Cricetulus griseus: one gene and its partners. The protein of the gene in region 3 purifies or fractionates together with the protein of the main gene of each other region. This does not show direct contact. Links are inferred from orthologs where the notes say so. Each region holds a gene or a part of one and is shown on either strand. Other genes may lie near its edges. The genes, in order: Rmnd5b, Tceal9 and Armc8.

Region 1 (4,163 bases), on a different chromosome or scaffold from region 3:
CTAAAGGTGTCAATGTAGCCAGCTATCCACTCTCCCAAAAGAATGGCAGCACAAGAAGCCAGTGTCCATGGTGACCCTGGGATCTTCCTATTTCTTCCACACTCCTAGTCCCACAAGCACCACCCATCTCGGCTTTACCATCTCAGCTCCACTTACAGCCACTTTCTCCCTCCCAGATGGTGGACAAATGACAGAAAAGTGATTGGCCTTGGCTGATGTTATTGTACACACTAAAATCTATAATCATAGTGTCCGGAGATGTTACACCCCCCAAAACAGACTCAACAGTTATAAGATATTATGGGTAAAATATAACAGGGACTCCCATTTAAAATGATATAATTATTTTGCTTGATAATAACTAACATTCCCCAGAGGCTCGTTATGTGCTAGGCTCTGCTCCAATGACTTCACCCATTAACTCATTCACCAATTCTCACAACACTATGAGGTAGGTATGGTTATTAGACCCACTTTGCAGCTGAGAAAATGAGACAGGGAAAGACAAAATAAACACCCCAAGGCCACACAGCTGGGAAGTGGAGGAGTGGGAACAGAAGGAAGCCTGCTATCTAGCTCTGGGCTGAGGTCCTCACTGTGGATACTTTGTACAACAGACCAGCAAAGCAGGGTGTATGTGTATATGGCTGTGATGAACTCATAGGGTCCATCAGTTATAACAAACAGGAAGTTAAACTGGAGCAAATGCAAACCACCAGCTGGGGAAGATGGTCAAAAAAAGAAAAAGGGGGATTTCTGGAGAGATAGCTCAGAGGTTAAGAGCACAGGCTGCTCTTCCAGAGGTCCTGAGTTCAATTCCCAGCAACCACATGGTGACTCACTATTATCTATAATGAGAATTGGTGCCCTCTTCTGACATATAGGTATATGCCAGAACACTGCATACATAATAAATAAACAAGTGAACCTTCTTGAAAACTTAAAAAGCTGAGGATTGGGGCTGAGAAGATGGCTTCATTGGTAAAGTGCTTGCCACATCTGCTGGATTAAAAGCATGCGCTACCACCCCGGTTACAGCCACCTTTTTACACTATAAATGCTAGGGATCCAACTGAGGTTTCTACTCATCGAGCCAGCTGCCTTGTACAGCCACCTTTTCTGCATGACAAATCTGATGTGTCAGTCCCACACAGATCTGAATCCTTATGACTGTCTCTTCACATGTGTTTCCCCGCACTGGACTACCAGCTGAACAAAGCCTGGAGACTAGTTTCATTCTCTTCTGGGCCTGGGCCACCACAGGCCTGAGAGTTTGCTCTAACTGTTTAAACAGTACCTCCATTTCCAGCCTTTGGCTAAGCAGGCCTGAGTCAAAAGCTCCCAGTGGGCAGAAAGAGATATGAAGGAAATGTTAAAAATTCACACTACAGGGGCCAGAGAGATGCTCACTGTTTCCGAGCACTTGCTACTCTTGCAGAGGATCGGTTCAGTTCCCAGGACCCACAACCTCCTTGTAACACCAGTTCCAGAGGCCCTGAAGCTCTCTTCTGACGCTGCATTCATGTGGTTCATAGACACACTTGCAGGCAAAACCATAACCATAAAATTTTTTTTAAAAATTAAAACAATCTGTTTTGTGTAGTGGCTCACACCTTTAATTCTAGAACTCAGGAGGGAGAGGCAGATAGCTTGTTGTGAGTTCCAGGCCAGCATGGTCTACAGTGACTTCCAGGACAGCCAAGGCTATGTGGAGAAGAAAGGCTGCCTCAAAATGAATAAGAAAGAAAGAAAGAAAGAAAGAAAGAAAGAAAGAAAGAAAGAAAGAAAGGCCTGATGGTGGGGCAGGAGGCAGAGGCAGGCAGATTTCTGTGAGTTTGAGTCCAGTCTGGTCTACAGAGCTAGTTTCAGGATAGCTAGGGCAGTTACACAGAGAAACCCTGTCTCAAAAAAACAACAGAACAAAACAAACAAAATATATAATAAGAGGTTGGGTGTGGTGGTACATGACCTTAATACATACAGCACTTAGGGAGGCAGAAGCAGGTTCACCTTTGTGAGTTTGTGACCAGCCTGGTCTACTTAGGAAGCTCCATGCCATCCTGGGCTATCAGAGACCCTGTCTCAAAAGGCAAGAACAACAAAACAAACAAACAAACGCATTCACCAAACAAACGCCTCATTGTAGTCACTCTCCCCCTCATTTGCCATACTCTACCACCACTGACCTTTCTGTTCCAGCGTACATACAGTTTATTTCTGCCTCCACCCTCTGCCTGGAACTGGCTCTTCACATCTTTCCATAGCTGACTCCTTATCTAGGTCTCGTCTTTTCAGACCCCAACATCCAATGCCCTGTACTTTACCCTCAAACAAATCATATCCCTGTTAACATTAGAAAGTTTCAAATCGTAACATCTTCACCTAAAACTGGAAGCACAGGAAAGCCCACCATTTACCCTGCCACGACCCGGACTTCACCCGCATTATGGTGCTAAGGACTGGCAAACTCCTACTCATGCTTCCAGAGACCCTCCTGCAGTGCCCTGCCAGGACTCCACCGTCCGCAGCTGGTTACCTCTGACCCAGTCAGCTGCACCAAGATAGGACGTCCGAGTCGGGCGACTCCACCAGCCCTTGGAGGGTGTGGCAGACGACTGCTCCGGGCTTTGGTCGGGGCGCCCCGCACCCCGGACCCAGAGCCCCCAGGCTGTCACCTAGTCCTGCAGCCCAGCCGGCTTCCGGCGCCGCTGTCATCGGAACCGGAAGGCGCGGCAGTTGCCCCTCGGGTGGGTCCGGGCTCGCCCATGCGCGTTGTCGGGGAGCGTGGGGAGACAGTCCGTCTATCCCGTGGCTTTGCCCAGAGTGCAGAATGGAATCGCCCGCGGGAGCCAGGAGGCAGTCAGCGCCTGCGCAGTGTCCGGGTGCCGCTTCCTTGCTACCCGCAGCGAACCTCGGTTTCCGCCGACCGGAACCACCGGAGGGTTGTCCCGGCTTTCTATCGGAAGTATGAGCAGGTGTACCTGCCTAATTGGAGTCCCTAACCGCTAGTCCTGTCTATATTCCTAACTCTTAAATGTCGAGGCTGGTGCATGGGGAAGCTGATGCTGGAGGAGCGCCGCGAGTTCCAGACGAGTTTGAACTACAAAGTGAGATTTGTCACAGAAAATAAAGCTGGACACTGTGGCACTTGCCTATGATTATAGGAAGACCAAAAGTTCAAGGGTACATAGTGAATTAGGCCAGCCTGAGCTATTTGAGACCTTGTCTCAAAACAAACACAAAAGCAGGGGAAGGGGGGGGCGTTGCTCAGCGGCTTAAAGGTTGCTGATCCTTCAGTCCATCCCCAGCACCGGAGAAATAAAAATTTCAAAAGCCCGTTACATGTACGTGGCCCAGTGATTAGGTATTTCCTGTGATTCTTTTTGAAATAGCAAATAATGTTTAAAGGAAGAGTCCTGAGGCCATGGGTAAAGTGTTTGCAGTGCAAACCTGAGGACCTGAGTTGGGATCTCTGGCACTGGTTTAAAGCTGACCCACCCCTAGTGGCGCAGGCCCATAACTGCAGCACTATGGTGGGTGGACACACGAGGACACCCGCGTGTGCTTGCCGGCTAATGGAGTTGAAAAGCAGAGCTCCGGGCTCAGTAAGAGATGGCGTCTCAAGGGAATAAGGTGAGGCGGGTGGCACACGCCTTTAATCCCAGTACTCGGAAGGCAGAGACAGGCGGATCTCTGTGAGTTCGAGGCCAGCCTGGTCTACAGAGTGAGTTACAGGACAACCTCGAAAGCTACAGAGAAAAGAAAAAAAAAAGTGAGAGAATAAGGTGGGGAGTGATAAAGTGGCCTCCACGCATCTATACATGCAAGCACACCCACGTACACGTTTACATTACATATGCACAATGCTTAAAGATGATTGTTTTTTGTCCTGGCCAGTCATTTAATTCTATTCTTCCATAGCTCCCAGACCTGCTGCTCTCTGTGGATCGCCCCTCTTTAGTGGTAAGATGAAGTAGGGGGTTGCATATCTGCCCTAATTAAAAAGGATGAAAGAGCTGGTTGTAGTGGCACATACAGTGAGTTTGAGGCCACTGGGAAACCAGCATAGGACCGACCCAGACCCCCTGATCATGGGTGTAAGTTAGGAGGCCTGGGCAATCTATGGCAGTGGATCGGTATTTATCCTTAGTATACGGGTGGAC
Region 2 (3,655 bases), on a different chromosome or scaffold from region 3:
ACACTCGGCACTGCCAAAGTGTCTATCAAATTGGAAAAGATGGACAAAATTTCCATCACTTTTGATGTCTGCAGATCTGGTCCATTGGAGGTACCAAAGCAGTGTTCTCGGCTTTGGTACTTGAGAATTTTACAAAGCACCAGGGAACTGAAATTTTCAGAATGCAGGAGAGGGTCTGGAATACCATGTTAATGTCATAAAGCAGCTAGATGGGAGTCTAGACAAGTAGCACTCGCCCACCAGTTGGAGAGTGAGTTTGTTCTCAAGCACAGCATGAGAATTACTTTCTCTATGCTTCCAAATAGCAGGAACAAATCTCTAGCATTTGGATCCTGTGGGAGCAATGGTGATAAAACCCTGTCAAACAGCTCTGGGTATCTTATTTGGCCACCACAAAATTCCTACAAGACTATTATGCTTATTACTGCAGATAAGAATAGGTGTAAATTTTAATCTTTTAACTCAGTGGTTCTAATATTTTGTCAATGAATAACAAGTGCCCCAGCATTTTAGAAATTGATAAGAGCTGTTGGATGCTTATTTTTAGTTATAAAACCTTTATTATTTTTAGCAAGAATAATGCACGTTCATTTTAGGAATATGGCAAATACAAATAAGCAGAAGAAAAATCATTCATCTTTCACAAGTTTATATGTGCATTTATGTAGCATACAAAGGTACTCTTGTCTTTCAAAATATGATATCCTCATATTATTTTGTAACCTTTCCTCATTTTGTATCCCATCAGAAGCTCATTTTTTTTTTACAAATCAGTAAAGCTCTCTCATTCAAAGCCAAACACTTGTAGATTGATTCAAATATAAGCAACAGTAAGATGCAGACAAGAAGAGATACATCTAAAACCACTAATAGCAACAGATTCAAAATAGGGAGATGGGCAAAGGCATATCAGAAAATTGCTAATAAAAAGAAAGCTATATTGCAGTGGCAATACCAGATAAAACAGAAACCAAGGCAAGCTACATTAAATAGGGATAAGGGTGGTTTCGATTAGCCTTCCAACGCATCACTATAAGTTTGTTTCTCACTCTCCTTATCTCATCTACTTCATCCACATCCCTAAACATATCTTCACTGCTCAAATGCCTGTTATGTATATCCTCTTTAAAATCCTGAAGAGACTGAATCAGCCTCTCCCTAAAAGTTTCTTCCGATTTTTCCTCCTCTTCTGGTTCTTCCCCCTCCTCTGGCTTTTCCTCGGGCTTTGGCTCCTCCTCGGGCTTTGGCTCATCATTTTCTGGGGTTCCTTCCATTTTTTGGCAGGGTTTCATCTTGTGTGTGCTTCTCTTCCTTCTTTGCTTCTTCCTGCCTATTCGTGAATGCGATTATTTCTAGGAAGCAAGTAGAAGACAGTAAGCGGAAGACTTGGTAAGTGTGCAGGTGCTGTGCACAAAAGGTCTCCTCACCCTGTGCTCTCTCTCTCCCTGTCTCTCCCCACCCCTCGCCTCCCCCCTCTCTCCCCACCCCATTTTGGTCCAACTGTCCTCAGCAAATACCTTCCACCTAAGAAGCCCAGTCCGCAATCAAGGTTTCCCAGTGCCCGCCCCTCTTACCTCCATTTTCCACCCCCTCCCCTCTCTAGTCCCTCCCTCAAGCATTTTTTCCAAGGCCTTCATTCCCGCAGCGGGCCTTCACCAACCCACACCCTGGGAGTCTGGTATAAAGTTCCTTTCACTTACCAGGTACTGATCTGGTCAGTTTCTTTCTCCCACTTATTTTAGCCTGGAGCGGTACAAAGAACAAACCTGCAGGCAAACGGAGAAGGGAGGGGATGTTGGGGGTGGGGCGAGCGAGCCTTGGGCGCTCAGCAGAGCAGCACCACAGATCCAGCTCACGGATCTTTCCTTATTTAAGGTCTTGCTTACGGACATTTCCCACCCTTTGTTTCCCACAGGATTCCTCCTTCCCACCCCGCAAGTTAGCTTGTCTTTCTCATCAGACAGGGAATATTATTTCCCAACTGTCGGTAGATCCAAGCCGAGGTTTCGGAAGCCGAGCGGCTGTCAGAAAAGAGGTCCAAAATCTCAGAGTATGGTTATTTTTGAGCCGTCATTGGTCTCCTTGTTTTCCTTTTGGGACCCCCCGCCCCCAGTCCGGTTCCTTTCACGGGTGTCCTTTCCTGCAGAATTGAAGCTAAGGGGTGGAGGGACGGACTTAACTGGAACTCCAGTCTCTATCCTAGACCACCCTACACTAGAAAAACCCAAGCAATACCCCCTCTGACACCAACCTGGAGAATTTAAACAAGCTGTCTCCTCCTTCCGCGGGCCTCTTACACCGCCGCCTGCGAAGCTGAAGGAAGCTGGTACCCAGATGGAAACAAGGACCAGACTAGCAGGATTTCTGCACACGTCGACTCCTGGTCACATGAGATCTACGTCACCAGTGAGCTCGGGTCCCCGATCTCCACTCCCACAAAAAGCGCGGCAGATGTGGGCCCGCCCTCTGCTCCCTCACCTACCCCCTTCCCGAACACACACTTGGCTGTGTCAGTCTTTTCTGCAGGAAAAAAAAAATGTGCGTTTTTTTTTTTCTGTTTTTGCAGTTCTCTGATTACTAAAGAGGAGCATCTTATTTTCTGGAGCTACGAACTTTTCCGCTTCACTTAATAATTGACCCTTCCTGTCTCCCACTCCCAGCTGCCAGTATCACTAACTCCCCAATCTGTTTCCTTAGCTCCTCCCCCTTCATCTGAAAAGTACTCCTTTGTTGTGTGGAGCCAGGTAGGTAGGGCACGATTGGGGACAAAAAAGGATCTTGGAATAGGACTGTGATTTCTTGAAAACATTTTAAACTTTGTTCTTAATACTTCTGTAATCATTTCAAAAGAAATGTCGCTTTACAGTCAGAAGTAACAGCCAAGTTATTTTAGATACATGCATGAATTCATACAGGTACATTACTTAGACTAGGGCCTGGTATATAGTAAATGCTTTAAGGTATGTGCTTTTTAAATGTTTATTATTTTCTGATGTCATTTAGGGAGAATTTTTTAAAATAAATAAAGATAATTATTTTATCTCGAGCCCTGCTGGGGGTACTGTCAAGAATTATGTTGCCTGAAAAATCATTACTTGGTCAATTATCAGGTACATATTGTTAACACAAGGTCTCCTTATTCTAAAGAAGGTGATACAGGAACTATCATGAATTGTTGGGATGTCTTAACACTGTGTTTTTACTGCTCCAAACCACTTAGCTGTAGCACACCTTCAACATTCACTCATTCCCATTTTATTTCACTTGAATAAATACAAGTGAAATAACATGTATGTATGAATATATATATATATATATATATATATATATATATATAGAGTTTGCTGCAAAGAGAACTGATGTGAGAACAGAGCTGTGGTTTGGACATGATTTGATTAATGGGGTAGGGGGCTCTGACTTCTTTATATTTGAAATGACTTCAAAAATCAAGTCACTAGTTTTATGATGACAATGATTGCTTGGGTTAGGGACTTGAAAGCCTCTTTAGGTAAAAGTACTGGCTTTTCACTTGATTACACATGCCCTGTGGGTGTCTAAAATGTCTAGAAAAAAATGTGGCATTGCTGCCTTCATGTTGTAGCTTCTCTTTGGTTATCTTAACCTCGGAGTCAGACTTCTGCTCAATTTTACATGT
Region 3 (4,096 bases):
GGAAGAAGGTATAATGGACTACAGATGGAAATAATTTAAAACAATTTGATTTCCCATTCAGCAACTTACAGTTATCACACTGCAGAGTCATCAGGACTATGAGCTCCTTTGGAGCACTTCTGATAACCTTGCATTTGCTAAAGTACACACACAACACAGGGCTTTGTACATCAAAGGCATATAGTAAGTAGCTTATTGAAGAGATTCACCCAAGTGTGTGTGTGTGTGTGTGTGTGTGTGTGCGCGCGCGCGTGTGTGCATGCACTCACCGGATCACAGGTCAGAGGTCAACATCGGTTATCTTTGTCTGCTTCTACCTTACTTTTTGAGACAGGGTCTCTCACTAAACCTGAAGCTCCCAGTTCTGACTATAGCAACTAGCTAGAAAGCCTCTAGGATCTGCCTCCCAGTACTGACATTACAGACATGTACTGACATTGTAGACATGCACTGACATTGCAGACATGCACTGACATTGCAGTGACATTACAAACATGCACTGACATATGGGGCTTTTTATGTAGGTACTGAGGATCCTAACTCAAGTCCTCATGCTTGTGAAGCAAGGAATTTACCCACTGAGCCACTTCCTTAATCACAATAACTTCTAATTAATAATTAATATTAAAATGGTGCTTGAGTTAGCTGTTTGAAAGGCAAAGTCTTTCCTTTAACCTGTAAGATCATTAAGCTCAAGACATTTTAAAGTGTTTCTCCAAAGCTCTGCCCTAAGACCAACGAATTGGAAAACTAGACCTTTGAGTTAGTTTATGCTCCCAAATGAGACTAGAGCTAAAGCAAATTCTAACTCAAAAATGGAAAATATTCTTCAAGAAGTTTTTTTGAGTGAAATAAACAGAACATAATCATTTACAAAGAAAGTGAGACAAATGAGGTTTTTGATTATCTACACTATTCAAGTTGATAATGTACAGAAAGAAAACAGGTGGAGCTAGGACTGTATTCTGGAACAGCACCTTACCAAGGGTGCTCAAAGGGTTGGGTTCAGTGTGTGTGTGTGTGTGTGTGTGTGTGTGTGTTGGGGGGGGGAGGGCAACCAAAAGTTTTTCAGATGAACTAAAGGGTATCTGAAATCAGGATGACATAATCAAAAGAGAACTGAACCATTAGGATACATCTTTCTTGTCTTTTAACTCAATTAGGGAGATCACTGGTCTGTTCTCCCACAAAACATTCATGGACATCGTAAGTGGACTAACAGGCTAATGTGCTCAATAGCTGGGTGAACAGCATTTCTCTAGTTGCAGTTTAAGTAAGCAGTTGAGTAAAATGGATCCAGGGATAGATCTGTTGATCACCTCCCAAAATTACATTTTGCACTGTATTGTAACTGTAGGTAGCAGCCTATTGAATGGCTCTAACCCTGGAGTGATGTACTAGGTGCCTTTGAACACGTGAGTGTGTTTGTGTAAGAGGTCAGAGCCGAGAAAAGGAACCGGTTGGAGTTGCAAGACTGTAGGAATCATAGCAAGTCATTTAGAATCCAACTACCATCTCAGTAAGTTTCAACAAGTCTCAAGGATGATCAATCGCTCTTTGCCTGCATACTTCTTTATTTCCAACAACAACAAATGAATCATTCATTGGTAAACTCTACTTGGCGTGCAACAGCTAAAACCTGTCGTGAAACCCTCCAAAGTTATCCCCCTGCAACTTTCATTCTTGTTCATTTCATCGATGCTCCTGTTCTTTTCTTTTAAGGACAATATCGTGGAAGGTGAACGTCTTCTTGTTGGTTTGTTGCTGTTGTTGTTTCTTTTTAACGTAAGAAGAAAAGAAATGGTATGACTTCTTGGCGTATCAAGACGTTCCCTTCTTGAATGGGGGAATGGGGAAATTTAATCTTGTTTTTTTTTTTTAATTACCCCTTTTGGTTCCTCCTTCTAAAATGTTTTGTTCTCCCTAAGGAAAAAAATGAACACCGGGCAATAGCAACATAGTTTCTCTAGTGTCCGAGCCGCGACCTCAGGAGCAGAACAGAGCAAAGCGGTTTAAATAACCACACACAATATAGCAAGAGTAGCAGCTTGAATTATATATATATATATATATATATATATATATATTATATATATCCATTGCCGAGAAACAAGCGGCTCTGGCAGGTGCCTGGGTGTAGGGACGTGACAGAAGACACACAGCCCTAGCCTGGCAGCTCTGTGCTGTGGCAGCGGAAGAGCTCACACCTCTTCTACCCACAGCCCGGGAGAGTGGAGTGGTCGCTCGGTCCCAGGCCTGCCCTGAACCTCAGCAGGCAGCGAGCTCGGTCTGGAGAGGCAACCGCGCAGAGAGGGAGGCAGGGGAAACGCTCGGCCAAGCCCAAGCCGCGCCCATGGGCCGGCTGCCTAGAGCCCGACCTCCCCGCCGGCCCGACGCCGCCCCGGGAGTCCGCACCGGTGGGAGCTCGCGAGTGTGAGACGCCTCCGGCTCGGCCCGGGCCGCGTGTGTCCCACCTACGGCCACCGCAGGGGGTGGTGCTCGGGAAGCTCACCGCGCCGGGCTCACAGAGTTGGCGGAGCCCGGGCTGCTGGGCGCCGAGCGGGTGGGTCACTCACCGAGAGGACACTCATGCGGATTGGGGTCTCCAACAGGCACGCCATCTTGAGCCTTCCCACCCGGCTGCTGCCGGCGCCGGCGCGCGGCCGGCACTTTCGACAGCCACCTATGGGGCCAGCAGCCGGATCCTCTGTGGAAAGCCAGACGAGCTACGCGGAACCGACCGGGCTCCGGGCGTCGCTTGAGCACCGAAGGACCGGGCGGAAGGGAGAAGAATGGGTAACCGCGCCGAACCCGGCTTACGAATCGTCCTCTCAGAAACAGCAGCTACTCTCGCTGGGGTCAGAGGAGGGCGCGGCCAGAGGCCTCCGCATGCGCAAAGGCCCGCCTGCCCCACCTTCCGCCTGCTGGGGGCGGAGCCTCACTCGGGCTCTGGGTACTGGTAAATTTCGGTTTGCGGGTTCTGTTTCCTAATCGCTAGTAGGTGGAGTTACCGACGTAGTTTGAAGTTCACTTTCACATTCGTTATCTCACTCTGCACCAAACTCCGAGCCTCAGTACTGTCCCCATCTTGGGGCTGGAGAAACTGGTCTCGAAACCGGGTCTCGTGCCGCTAGTGAGAACGGTGGTTTCACGCTTCAACGCTCAAGCGTGACCTGCGTTAACGTCGTGTGCCCGACCCACGCGTGGATTCTGGTTTAGTGTTCGGAATGAGCGAGCACTCCAGTGCCAAGACGCCTGGGTTTAATCCTTGCTACTTTAGTTAGCGCCTTTATCTTGGACAGGTTCCTTAGCCTCCTTTTATTTCAGTTCTCCCGACTGTAAAATAAGGGCTGATGAGAATAAATGAGGCAATAAACCAAACAACAAGCCCGGCATGTGGAAAGCCTTGTGCTCTCTATGTGTTAGCATTTTTCCAGCCTCTGAGTCATATGGGGGAGGGGTGGCGGGGAGGGGGACAATTGGTCAACTATCTGAGTATCGCGTACTAAAACACGCTGATAGGTGAAGCCATCTCTAATTAGGTTGTTACTGTTCCTCGGGATAAAGCAAGAGGCTTCCCAGTGCTCTTAGAGCAAAAGCCTATCTTTCTCCTCATTTCCACCTGTACTTTCTAAATTCATTGTATCATTTATCACCCCTGCTTATAGGTCTGTTACAAAATGTTGCACTTCTGGAAGACTGGAAGTTTAATAGAACCTGCTGTAACAGTATATTCTCTCCTAAATTCTGTAGCTTGCATCCTAACTACACAATGTTTGCCAGTGTTCGGCCGGGTGTTATTATTCATCCAATAACGTTGTTTAAAGCCAGTTTCCACATCTTTGAATTTTTTAGCTTTTCCCTAAATCGTAGTCTGTGAAATCAAGTTTTTTGTGTTCCTTTTTATTCTAGGATACATTACCATTCATAAATACAAATATTAAATGTCTATCTACCTAGCTCCTAAAATCATGTCCTAGTATGCCTGCTACAACCAGGCAGATTGTAACTGCACATAGTCTCTATAGCTATGTGAGCTACACTTCACTCTTTAACTCAGGCAATACATTTTCCAGGAACCCCTTCCTCCAAGTAT

What was found.
Region 1: the proteins of Armc8 (region 3) and Rmnd5b purify together in Homo sapiens (affinity purification with mass spectrometry; 4 studies listed by BioGRID and IntAct, with this or other methods). This does not show direct contact. The link is inferred for Cricetulus griseus from reciprocal best matches to the Homo sapiens genes ARMC8 and RMND5B.
Region 2: the proteins of Armc8 (region 3) and Tceal9 purify together in Homo sapiens (affinity purification with mass spectrometry; 3 studies listed by BioGRID and IntAct, with this or other methods). This does not show direct contact. The link is inferred for Cricetulus griseus from reciprocal best matches to the Homo sapiens genes ARMC8 and TCEAL9.

What each region holds. Positions count from the first base shown.
Region 1 is NC_048600.1:65,918,068-65,922,230, forward strand, and holds the start of Rmnd5b (E3 ubiquitin-protein transferase RMND5B), read right to left. Parts: upstream 2,814-4,163; 5' UTR 2,676-2,813; exon of another isoform or gene 2,537-2,675; intron 1-2,536. UniProt on the Homo sapiens protein: Core component of the CTLH E3 ubiquitin-protein ligase complex that selectively accepts ubiquitin from UBE2H and mediates ubiquitination and subsequent proteasomal degradation of the transcription factor HBP1.
Region 2 is NC_048604.1:44,120,122-44,123,776, forward strand, and holds Tceal9 (transcription elongation factor A protein-like 9), read right to left. Parts: upstream 2,406-3,655; 5' UTR 2,252-2,405; intron 1,767-2,251; 5' UTR 1,701-1,766; intron 1,353-1,700; 5' UTR 1,293-1,352; coding exon 981-1,292; 3' UTR 633-980; downstream 1-632. UniProt on the Homo sapiens protein: May be involved in transcriptional regulation.
Region 3 is NC_048597.1:207,972,414-207,976,509, forward strand, and holds the start of Armc8 (armadillo repeat-containing protein 8), read right to left. Parts: upstream 2,871-4,096; 5' UTR 2,622-2,870; coding exon 2,577-2,621; intron 1-2,576. UniProt on the Homo sapiens protein: Component of the CTLH E3 ubiquitin-protein ligase complex that selectively accepts ubiquitin from UBE2H and mediates ubiquitination and subsequent proteasomal degradation of the transcription factor HBP1.